2 linked regions of the Coturnix japonica genome follow. The protein of the gene in region 2 interacts with the protein of the main gene of each other region in a pairwise test. Links are inferred from orthologs where the notes say so. Each region holds a gene or a part of one and is shown on either strand. Other genes may lie near its edges.

Region 1 (6,242 bases), on a different chromosome or scaffold from region 2:
GCAGCACATTTAGTGGAGAGTAAACAACAGTGCAGGAAGCAGGGCAGGACCAGGAAACAGTCACTTCTCTTAAACACATCTGGAAGCATAAATATACCAACAGCACAGCTGAGAGCAGTAAGCCAGCACCTACCTAGTGTGTATTCACACAGCAACTCTGTTACAGCAGGACTAACAACCTCCCCACAAACAGGAAGCCCCACTTCAGAGGGAAATTCAGAATAAGCCATTCGTGGATGCCATCAAACTAAAGCTGCTCAACTTCCAAGCATCGTTCAGTAAGCAAACGCACAGACCAAGTTTATAAGAGAGCTTTAATGACAAAAGGTGCAGCACTGTTTACAGACGACGTCCACGGCGACCACCCTTCCTGCGAGTACTGTCAGAGGGGATGGGGGTGACATCCTCTGTGGGAGAAAGAAAACCAAGAAACCCTCCGTTACCTGACAGAGGTACCTCCAAGAAACCAACTGGGAAAACCCACCCAGCCCAAGCAGTCACCTTAAGCAGCCTGTCACCGCAGAATGAACTGTCTATAGGAGGTAAGACCTGTGAACTCACCAAATGAGTTCAGCCCCAAGGCTTTTAAAGCTTAGGACACAAACATCCCCATCTCCCAGCTCACCTACATAAGAAGCCACGGGATTTCTAGAGAAACAGTTTGTGCATGATGCAATTCTGAGGGCAGCTGACACTACTACGCCTTCCTTACAACTTCCCCACCAAGTTCAATGATCTCCCTCAAATAGTTTGAGGAATTCAAGTTATTTCTGAGTCATGGTCTTAAACCAGGACCAGCACAACACTTCTAGGTAACTAAACTGCTGCTCTGGGAAAAAGAACAGTTACATCAGAGGCCCATGAGCATCCCAGTGTACAGCTGAGGTTTATTACGCAGCCAAAAGCTTGATAATCTGGAGTCGACTGACGCCACCTTCTGGCTAAACTTCACTGAAACAAGATGCATCTGCTTCCACTAAATTACACCTACAGCAGCATCAGACAAAGGCTAAGCACAACAGTCCCAAGTCAACCTGTCACACACGTTCACAGAGCTCCTTCTACTTAATAATCCCTCAAAACCTTTTCAGAGTAGCAAGGCTCTACACAGAGGCACGAGTGCCCACAAATCACATTCTCCATTACTCACCAATGCGGCCGATCTTCATCCCAGACCGGGCCAGAGCTCTCAGAGCTGACTGAGCACCAGGACCTGGAGTCTTGGTCCTAAAGGAAAGAATCACAACTAATAATCCCTTAAAGATTCACAAGTTTAACATAAATAACAAATAACTGTCAATTTAAAAGAAAAAAAATCACTTTTCCCTGCTCCAAAACACTCAGATATCAAATTCCCTTTCTTCCCCTTCCAGATCCAAACTATTCACATGCAGTCAAGCACACTTTATTGTCACTCTATGGTAACATATCTTCAAGTTTAAAAGCTCCTCTTTTCACTGCCACAAATAAATACATAACAGCACACCCAGGTACATCCAACTGAAAATGATACTTTAGAACAGATCCCAGCTGCTCAGTGAAAAGCAATGTCAGCCAAACACCCTGTGTCAGAACCAAACTCCCAAGGTGCATTTACACTGCCAACTTGAGCAGTGCAAGAACACAAAGACCAGAGGACAATCAGATGTAACCTGGTCTAGTTCATAAAGCCAAGCAGTCTCTGACATACCTATTCCCACCGGTAGCCCGCAGCTTGATGTGCAGGGCAGTGATGCCCAGCTCCTTACACCTCTGGGCAACATCCTGGGCTGCCAGCATAGCTGCGTAGGGAGAGGACTCATCTCTGTCAGCCTTCACCTTCATACCACCAGTCACACGGCAGATGGTTTCCCTGCAAAAGAACCCATTCAGAAACAAAGCAGTTCCCCTTTCCTTCCTGCCAAACAGCCTCGATGCACTGACAGAACCACGTCTCTATTTCAGTAGAAACTCAAGGATTTCTGCAGACATCCATGTCAAATATAATTACTCTTTTCCAAAGTGAAGGAGCCGGGTAACACAATGAGGTGACCAGTGTGCAATACTCACTTGCCAGAGAGATCAGTCACGTGGACAAAAGTGTCATTGAAGGAAGCAAAGATATGGCAGACCCCAAACACATTCTCGCCTTCAGCAACCTGAGGTCCCAGGCTGATGACCTGTTCTTCTTTCTTCTCCTTGCCCTTACGAGGTGCCATTTCTGAACAAAGAGCAGAAACATTTCAGAACTGCATCTTGGCTTAGCAGGGCTGCACTTCACAGAAGGAACTGAGATGTGCTTTATCACAGCTGTTTGCTGCATGGGCTACCACAACAGTGTGAGGAAACCCCTTCCACGATGACCAGCAGCACTGAGGACTTCCCCTCACTCATTTACTTAATGGAAGCCAAGACAACATCAAACAAAACATTTACTAAAGACCCAGACACTATCACAAAGCTCTCAAAGACCTTTTGAGTCCCACCAGGGGCTCATTAGCCACCTAACCACACCGCTGGGTCCAGTTCAAGTGCTGCTTCTGCCTCTAAAGCCTTCACTGATGTGGAGGATGGCAAACATAGCATGCCAAAGTGTTTGGATAGGTGCCCACACATCTGCTCCTATTGTCAAACAGGGTCTGAGGCCTTCGACTAGAAAAGAAAGAATTATAACGATATTATAAAGGAAATCAGCTCAGAACACACCCTGCTTTCACCCCAAAGCCTCTACAGAGAGCAGCACTTAAACCCGGTTGTTAAACAGGGGCCAACACGGCCACTCCAAAGCTGAATCCCCTTCCTGACACACTTGGTGCAAGGCTCCACCGCCATTACTACCCTGCAGTAACACAGAAGCTCACACAGCCATTGAACTCAGTCACATTCACCTCAGTCACGCCACTATAAGCCTCAGAGCGAGGGACCCTTCTCCCTCCGGCCGCCCCCTACCCCTGGCGGGCACACAACACCGCCAGCTCCCGGCTCGGCTGAGGCCTAACACCGCGGCCTAAACACCGCGGCCTAAACACCGCGGCCTAAACACCGCGGCCTAAACACCGCGGCCTAAACACCGCGGCCTAAACACCGCGGGCCTAAACACCGCGGCCTAAACACCGCGGCCTAAACACCGCGGCCTAAACACCGCGGCCTAAACACCGCGGCCTAAACACCGCGGCCTAAACACCGCGCTCCGCCGGCACTGAGCGCGCTGCTCCGCTCGGCCCCGGTCCCGAGGAGACGGGCAGCGGGCAGGGACAGCACAGCGAACCGGAGGAGATTGGATGGCGGCGGATACAACACAACGCCGCGCTCACCTGCACGTCTGCTCCGCCGGCCGCCGCTGGAAAGGAAGTGATGGGGGTCAGGAGGCGGGATTACCGCGCTCACCCGGAAGTGATGGCGGCTACGGGCGGTTTCCGCCGGCACGGAGATATTTGTGGTATCGCTGAGCAGCGCTTTGCCGTTCTCTATACAGAGCCCGGCGGTCCCGTTAGCACCGTAAATAACGCTACGGAGCAGAACCGGCCGCGCTTCCCTCACGTGTCCCCTCCCCAAGATGGCGGCGCCCTCCCCTCATGTGTCTCCTCCCCAAGATGGCGGCGCCCACCCTTCCGGTCTGTTCTCCCCAAGATGGCGGCGCCATCTTTCCGAGCCATCCCCGCCCTGAGGGGAGTCTGTCCTGAGAGCTTCTTCCTTTCGTGTTCGATAAGGGCCGTGTTACGTACCTATAAACGCTGCTTAATAGTGCTGTACGACATGTCTGTGAGGCATAAGTCCTCTCCCTATGGGATGGGACACACAGCAGGTGCCCCACACCTGAGGGCTGCTCTCCTTGGCGCTGCTTTAGCGCCAGCTTCGTGCTGCTGACAGAGCTGTGCTGGGAGAGCTTTACAGACACAGGCCTGAGCTGGTTGCACGAACATTTCTTCATAAACAAATGGCAGGGGGTTGCTCCGGTCCCCTGCGAAAGCCTGGAGTAATTCGACAGGACAGCATTGTTTTTCCACTGAGGCTTCATTAAACCTTAGTGGCCACAAAGAGGGTGCAAGTATGACTCTGTTTGAAGCCAACAAAATCCCACGCTGTGCAAGAGGCTTGAATGGAGAATGGGAGATTCTGCTTCGCTCCTAACCCATCGTGCCATCAGGTGACTCCTAGTTATTGAGGTATTGAGCTATTAAGGTCTTCATCCAGAAGGACAACCGCCGCTCTGTTCAAGGCTTCTGATTAAGACCTTAAACCCCAAGCTTAATGTGCAGCGACCTTGCCTGACCCATTAAAGAAAACCAAACAGACAGACTCTACAATAAACATCCCTGTTGACATTGTGGACCTTCAGCCCCTTTGTTCAGCTGTCTGATGCCAGGAGGCTCGTGGATGAGGCTTACCTGCTAATGTAGCCCAGCTGCACACACTGCTTTGTGCTAAGACATCTCTGCAGAAAGCAAGTAGGTTTCTAATGCTGTTAATGTCTTCCTTATTTCCTGTAAGAGCTGGATGCGTAGCGTTTTCTGTCATTCTCACTGAAGATTTATGAGTCTATGAGGGGGTATTTTGGAATTATTCCCATAAAGGGATGTACTTAGATATTTTAATATGTGGAAGTCTTCAGAGCATTTTCTCTTAAGGAGCTGGTGGGAGAGATTTAAATGCACATAATTCTCGGTTGGTAAGGCTGATGTTAGAGACATAGACTTTGTAGCTGTGAATGATGGTGCGGGGTCTCCCTCCTAGAACAATTATCATGGGAGATTTCTTCCACCTCTACAGCAAATAGAATGCCAATGTGTAAAGTTTTACATTAAGGCAATCCAGCGAGTGAATATTTAAATCAGTTCCTACTGATTTAAATAGGGCTCAGGAGAGAGATGGGAAACATCAAAGACCTTTGGAAAAAAAGACAGATCAAATCTGACATAATAGCATTTGCAATATGCTTTTTGGGCCTGATCCTGCTCTGCTTTTATAAATACCTCCTCAATTAAACCAGAGGAGAAGCAGATGGTTGCAGATGAGGTATGAGGGAAGCTCCATACAGTTGTTCCATGGGGGGGGATTGCACAATCTGAAAGCCTGAAAATACTTCTGCTGGGGGAGTCTAATGCCTCTGCTTAGACAACAGAACTTGCTGCTGGCTGGTGGGAAATTTCTGAACCTCTGTAGTGCCTGGAGCTTTTTTTGCTCGGGCATGAAAAGAGGTCAGTGCAATGAACGACTGCAGCTGAGCCCCTTTGGACAGCACAGCCTTTTGCTTCTGATGCTGTTGCTGTACCAGTTGTCCCCAGAGGAGCAGCTTCCATGTACACAGCAAGGCTGGTGTCTTTCAGGGTATCTTTACCCTTCTCTAGCCAAGCGTGCAAGGTCCCTCCTGGATGCAGCCCTCCCAGCTGCCTCTGGGGAGAACAGGTTTGTTCCATAGTGCTTCCCTGCACCTCCCTGCACCGGGCTTCCCCCAGGAAAGCATTCTGTGCCCACAGATGTCATGATAACACCCACTTGACCCTGTGGGCCACCTTGCCTGCTCCCCTCTTCCTTAGCAGCTTGCCACTGCACCAGGGATCTTCCTGTTTAAATATTGGATGAGAGTCTTTTAAAATATACATTGGCAGCGCTGCTGTAATTCCAGACAGGGGCTCCAGTGACATGGGATTGATTGACTGAAGGGGTAATGAAGGGGCCATTGGCCTGCACAAGGCTGATCTCCCCCTGCCACCACTGCCCTTGGCCTGCCTCCTGCTCTCACATAAGTCTTGAGGACAGGGACTTTTCTGCATCCCATTTTACCTCTGATATGAGTTACTGTTTCCCTCTCTTTTGCCTTTCTTCCCTTGCATTTCACCTCCGTGAGGATTTTTTCATCCCTTTTAGCAGTTCCTGTGCTCCAGCACAGCCCTGCATGCGTGTGCAGTGCAGACAGCAATGATCTACCCTGAGGCTGGTGCCCGCTCACAGATGTCCTTGTGGAACAGATGCAAGCCAGAGGCATGGAAATGGGCAAGCCTCCACTGACAGGGTAACAAGCTGAAACCAGGGCTCCAGATGAGCTTCTGAAAAACTCCAGCAAGCCAGCAGTTTGAAATGCTGCTCTGCCCACAGTCCCAAAGCAGCTGGGAGGCATTCTGCATCAAGTCCCTTATGGCACTGTGTGGGCTGGGGTTTTTCCACTCCTAGGGATGAATTCTCAGTTCTCCCTTCCCGCATTGCATGAGTCCTGGTGTGTCTGCAAGGGAGCTTCCTGCCTTTCAGAGCACTTCCAGGCCCCA
Region 2 (4,920 bases):
ATATGAAAATATATATTTAAAACAAACGTATCTGCAACTGAAATGAGTCTTTTGGCTCTTGTGAATGTTACTTTTGGATTCAGATGTTAATACCTGCTGCTTTTATCTTCAGGCAGTTCGTATTCTTCAGGACGATGTTGCGTGTGACATCATTAAAATCGGTTCCCTAGTGAGGAACAGAGAAAGTTTTGTAAAAAGAAGAGGACGACTTCTTGGGCCCAAAGGATCTACTCTGAAGGTATTCCTCATAAGTGTATTACCATAAAAAATCTTAAACACAAGGTCTGCGTGTCAGACCTTCAGCTGACACTATCTTTATTCATTTTTGTTGTTCTAGGCCCTGGAGCTGTTAACCAACTGTTATATTATGGTTCAAGGCAACACTGTTTCAGCTCTTGGACCTTTCAGTGGGCTAAAAGAGGTAAGGGAAGGCAGATGAGCAGTTTATGTAGCTCACTTTTGTGCCTAGCTGTGGCGTGGAGTACAGGCGGAGTCTGGTAGCCTCAAGAGTTACTCCACTGTCCTTTCAGTAACATGTTATTAAGCTACTTTTATGTGAATTCCTATAGGCTTAGCTCCTGAATTTTGTTAGCTGCTGAGATCTTTCCGCCTTGAAACTAAAAGTATTTTTTGTGGTTTTTTTTTTAAGGTAAGGCTTAGTAAAGATATCAAAGGGGCACCTTCATGTATTTCTGAATAGTGTGTCTAGTCCTGCCCCTTGGGCTTTTATTTCTGTAGCTTACAGTGCAGAATTTCTGTAGTTTCAGTTAAGAGGTTTGAGTGAAAACATCGCAGTGTTAATGTGATATAGCATGGATTAACATCTAGTATATTCTTAGTAATTCTAGAGGGAATAATAGATGTCAAAAGCTAAAACACAACATAACATCCATGATGGCATGAAAGTAGTGGTTGTTGTGATGCTGCAGTGTATCAGAAGCATGACAGTATAGCTAACGATATTTTTGAAGCACTGTGCCTTCTAATTGGCTTTGTAGTTTTTTTAGCCTATCTGCTCTTAGTTTTGGGGTGAGAAATGTTCTGATTTTGAAGAAACTTAGGGACCTTGATATTTTAATTGATTAGAGTATGAAGTACCTGCTGAGTGTTCCATTCATTTTCTTTTATTAAATACAGGTTAGGAAGGTTGTTCTGGACACAATGAAGAATATACATCCCATATATAACATTAAGGTTGGTGTGCACCTTTGAAAGCATTAAGTCTTTGTACACAGCTTTATGTTAATAATTCTATGTTTCAGTGTGTGCTATACGAATATATATAAATGTATATGTGTAAACTGTGCTATAAGAACCTTTGATAAAACTTTTAGTTTGGAGCTCTTAGATACTACTGCAATACTATTGTTTTATTAACTTCTTTGTGATGTTCTAAAACTACCAAAGACTTTGATGATCAAACGTGAATTATCAAAAGATCCTGAACTGAGGACACAGAATTGGGAAAGATTTTTGCCTAAGTTCAAGAAGAAGAACTTGAAAAAACGCAAGGAGCCAAAGAAGAAAAATGTTAAGAAGGAGTACACACCATTCCCACCTCCACAGCCAGAAAGCCAGGTCAGCTGAAACTTTATTTGGTTGTGCAGGAGTATATGGTGGTTTTAAATCCTGCTCTCGTTAAGATGAAGTTAACGGGCCCTTTCTGTCATGTTTTTGTTTCCTGATATTATATATCTTGCTTGTAATGTGTAATTGTCTAAAGCTTCTTGGTAATTTTCTTGTATAGATTGATAAAGAATTGGCAAGTGGTGAATACTTCTTGAAAGAAAGCCAGAAGAAACGAAAGCGAGTGGAAGAAATAAAGGTAAATTTGTTACAACCAGTTAAAAAGTGCTTCATTTCTGACTTTGGTTTTTTTCCCTTTTGCCCGGCTCTGTTGGTACTTCATACTTGTCATTGTTAACTGTAGGCAAAGCAAGCTGATGCAGTCAAGAAAAGACAAGAAGAAAGAAATAAAGCTTTTATCCCACCAAAGGAAAAGCCAGCTGTGAAAGCAAAGAAAGGTAAGTTGTTTTTTTTTCCCCCATTCTAAACCCTACTAGTTAATTCTCCACATAATTACTTTGTGTAAGATGTAGCCATTTGAATTCCGTTGAAAGATTTGTGTATCATGCTAGATTAAGTAAAAATGATTGGAATAGTTTATAAAATCATTAGTGAACATAAAATGAATCCTAACTAATGCTACGGGATGCAGTTTAATGTGGATACACATGAAGTAATCTCACAGGCTGTGGAAAAATAAGAGAAGTAAACCTTGTGTCTCTCTGTGCTCGTGTTTTTACTGTGTAGCTTCTACTGAGAAAAAAATTGATATTGAAGCCATCAAGGAGAAAGTAAAGAACGCAAAGAAGAAGAAATTAGGAGCGCTTCCTATGGAAGAAGTCAAGTTAAAAATGGCAGCAGATGAAAAGAAGAAAAAAAGGAAGAAGTAATTCACTGCTCATTCTGCTCAATTTTCTCCTACAATAATGAATGTTCTCACACTTGGAAAAACCAAGACTTGGAGGAAACTTCTTGCTGTCAATGTAGTGTGGATGAGAAATTACTAGGCAGAAAGATGGTTCTCTTTTCACAAGCCCATTTTAACAAATGGACCTGGAGCAGCTATGCAGAATTGTCAAAGTTGGTGAACAAAATCTGCTCTCTCATACCTTTTGAGTACATTTGGATAACACCTGTCTGCTTCGAGGACATTTCATATTAGAAACATTTAGAAGTTTGATGCAGAATGTGAAAGGGTAAAGGTTGGAGAACTCAGTGGGAGTTAAATGGAAATCTTCTATGAAAGACTACCAAAGAACTGTCAAGATGGGCAAGATTTATTACTTTTATTATGCTTTTACTTCTGTAAAAGCAGGGGGTTTTTTGTGTGTCTTGTCTTGATGTCAATAAACTGTTTTAATATATTGTCTTTAAATCCTTTAATTATTCACCTACTGCAAAACCCACATCTTGTATCCCTAGAAGCAACTCACAGCTTCGTGTGAGGATTAGACAACCATAATCTTAATTGAACACCATTAATAAATGGTCATTTATTAGCGTTATCTTGTTAGGCAGAATATGACACAAAGCAAATGTGCTGCAGGGAGAACATAAATGGTACCATTCTTTACATGTGTTCTTAATTTATTTCTTACAAGAAATGAGAACTTAGGTTCCTTTTAAACTTTAGGTTTCCTTTATTCAGCCCCTTCCCCTTTTTTTGAAGGAAGTATAGAGGTTATTTCCTAAAAGTGGAAATTATGATGAAATTGAGTACACTAGAAAAGCAGATGTTACTAAGTTGATGCATCTCAGGTTCGAGAAACAAATGTAATAGTAAGTAGGTGGTCGGGCCACACCAATTTCATGACTGTGTTTGAGTGCTTTACCAGACTTTAGAGTTCTGATTGCTTGCACATATGGTAAAGACGATTATGCTGGAACACTGCAGCTCACTTTGCTTAGGTTAGTGGCCTTTTATTTGAAACTGGTGTGAGAACACAGCTGTTTTCTTTGTTATGCGTCTAAATAAGAATTTAGAACATATGTTAAAGAGTCAGTGTGTGTGTGTGCATAGAGAATCATCTAGGACCTCTGCCCTTTAGGGTTGGGGACAATCTTGGTATGACTTTCAGTTACCTGGTCTGTTCTTGGAGTTTAGTTCTTGAAGAGGAAACACAGAATCACAGAATTGTAGGGGTTGGAAGGGACCTCTAGAGATCATCGAGTCCAACCCCCCTGCCAAAGCAGGCTCCCTACACCACGTCACACAGGTAGGCGTCCAGGCGGGTCTTAAATATCTCCAGAGAAGGAGACTCCACCACCTCCCAGGGCAGCCTGTTCCAGTGCTCAATACTCTGTCATTCATAAATGGCAGTTTAATTACTTATCATGTGAGAAAGTACTGCTCAACAGATGCTTCACTGAGAAAACAAGTAAACTGCACACCCATCACAGAAGCTGTAGTAAGCCGATACGTTTAGGGATACCAGCCCCATGATAAGCTCTTAGACACAGTACTTGATAGGTAGTGGTTGATGGCATGACAGGGAGACCTGAGTTCAGTGTCAGGTGGGTTAGATCTCTCAAGGGCTTGGGCTGTTCCCAGAGACACTGCAATAGTTTGGTTCTCGGTGTGATCCCACAAGTGAGTACTTCAACAGAGTAATTTGCAGAGCCTGAAGCCAGTAAGGAGGAGCTGAACTGGATCCAGGGGAGGTACAAGGAGAGAGTGTCCTCTGTTATATTACGGTCTGGATGAGACCTTTTCAATGCAGAGGGTCCCTGCAGCAAATTTCTGTTTGCTAAAATTTAGATCTTGTTCCATACACGTTAAAATACACGTGTGTGCTTCTGTGGAAGCGTGCATTTTGAATTTAAGTTCCCCAGCTGAGATCTCTACATAGATTTGGCATCAAAGCCCAAACCACAGTAGGACTTACTTGATTTCAGGGAGTCTTATCCTTTTGTCATGAGATGAAGGGGTTCTGTTTAATCTTCTTGGGTTGTTCTGGTTGCTGAGCTTCAAGGACTGTTGGTTAGGCATATATTTTCTTAAATGAGAAAATCTAGCAATGCTCTTCGTTCATAGCCAGAAGACAAACCAAGGCAAAGAAGTACCTCATGGCTGTTTTTATATCTGTATTTTGCAATTATCGTGCAGAAGTCATGGGCGTATGCCATAAAAACAACGTGAACAACTTGAGGGGTTTAATCATCAGGAGTTAAATATCTGGATTTTGAGTGTCCTTAACAAAAAAAAGAGATGCATTTCTTGCTTTGCTTTGTCTCCTTGACTTTCTGGATTTTTTTGTTTGGAAGTTGCCACGCAGTAAAATTTGCTGGTTGTTTTTTTTTCCCCATGAACCCCAGTGATTTACAGGTTTTTTAATGAAGCTTTCTCTGTGGAAT

What was found.
Region 1: the proteins of KRR1 (region 2) and RPS14 interact in binary tests that used the Homo sapiens proteins (3 or more experiments, as listed by UniProt). The link is inferred for Coturnix japonica from reciprocal best matches to the Homo sapiens genes KRR1 and RPS14.

Annotation. Positions count from the first base shown.
Region 1 is NC_029528.1:4,932,230-4,938,471, forward strand, and holds RPS14 (40S ribosomal protein S14), read right to left. Parts: upstream 3,533-6,242; 5' UTR 3,294-3,532; intron 2,201-3,293; 5' UTR 2,199-2,200; coding exon 2,050-2,198; intron 1,853-2,049; coding exon 1,691-1,852; intron 1,228-1,690; coding exon 1,151-1,227; intron 408-1,150; coding exon 340-407; 3' UTR 296-339; downstream 1-295.
Region 2 is NC_029516.1:34,295,777-34,300,696, reverse strand, and holds the end of KRR1 (KRR1 small subunit processome component homolog), read left to right. Parts: intron 1-112; coding exon 113-238; intron 239-337; coding exon 338-421; intron 422-1,137; coding exon 1,138-1,194; intron 1,195-1,407; coding exon 1,408-1,578; intron 1,579-1,747; coding exon 1,748-1,825; intron 1,826-1,930; coding exon 1,931-2,024; intron 2,025-2,313; coding exon 2,314-2,456; 3' UTR 2,457-2,931; downstream 2,932-4,920. UniProt on the Homo sapiens protein: Part of the small subunit (SSU) processome, first precursor of the small eukaryotic ribosomal subunit.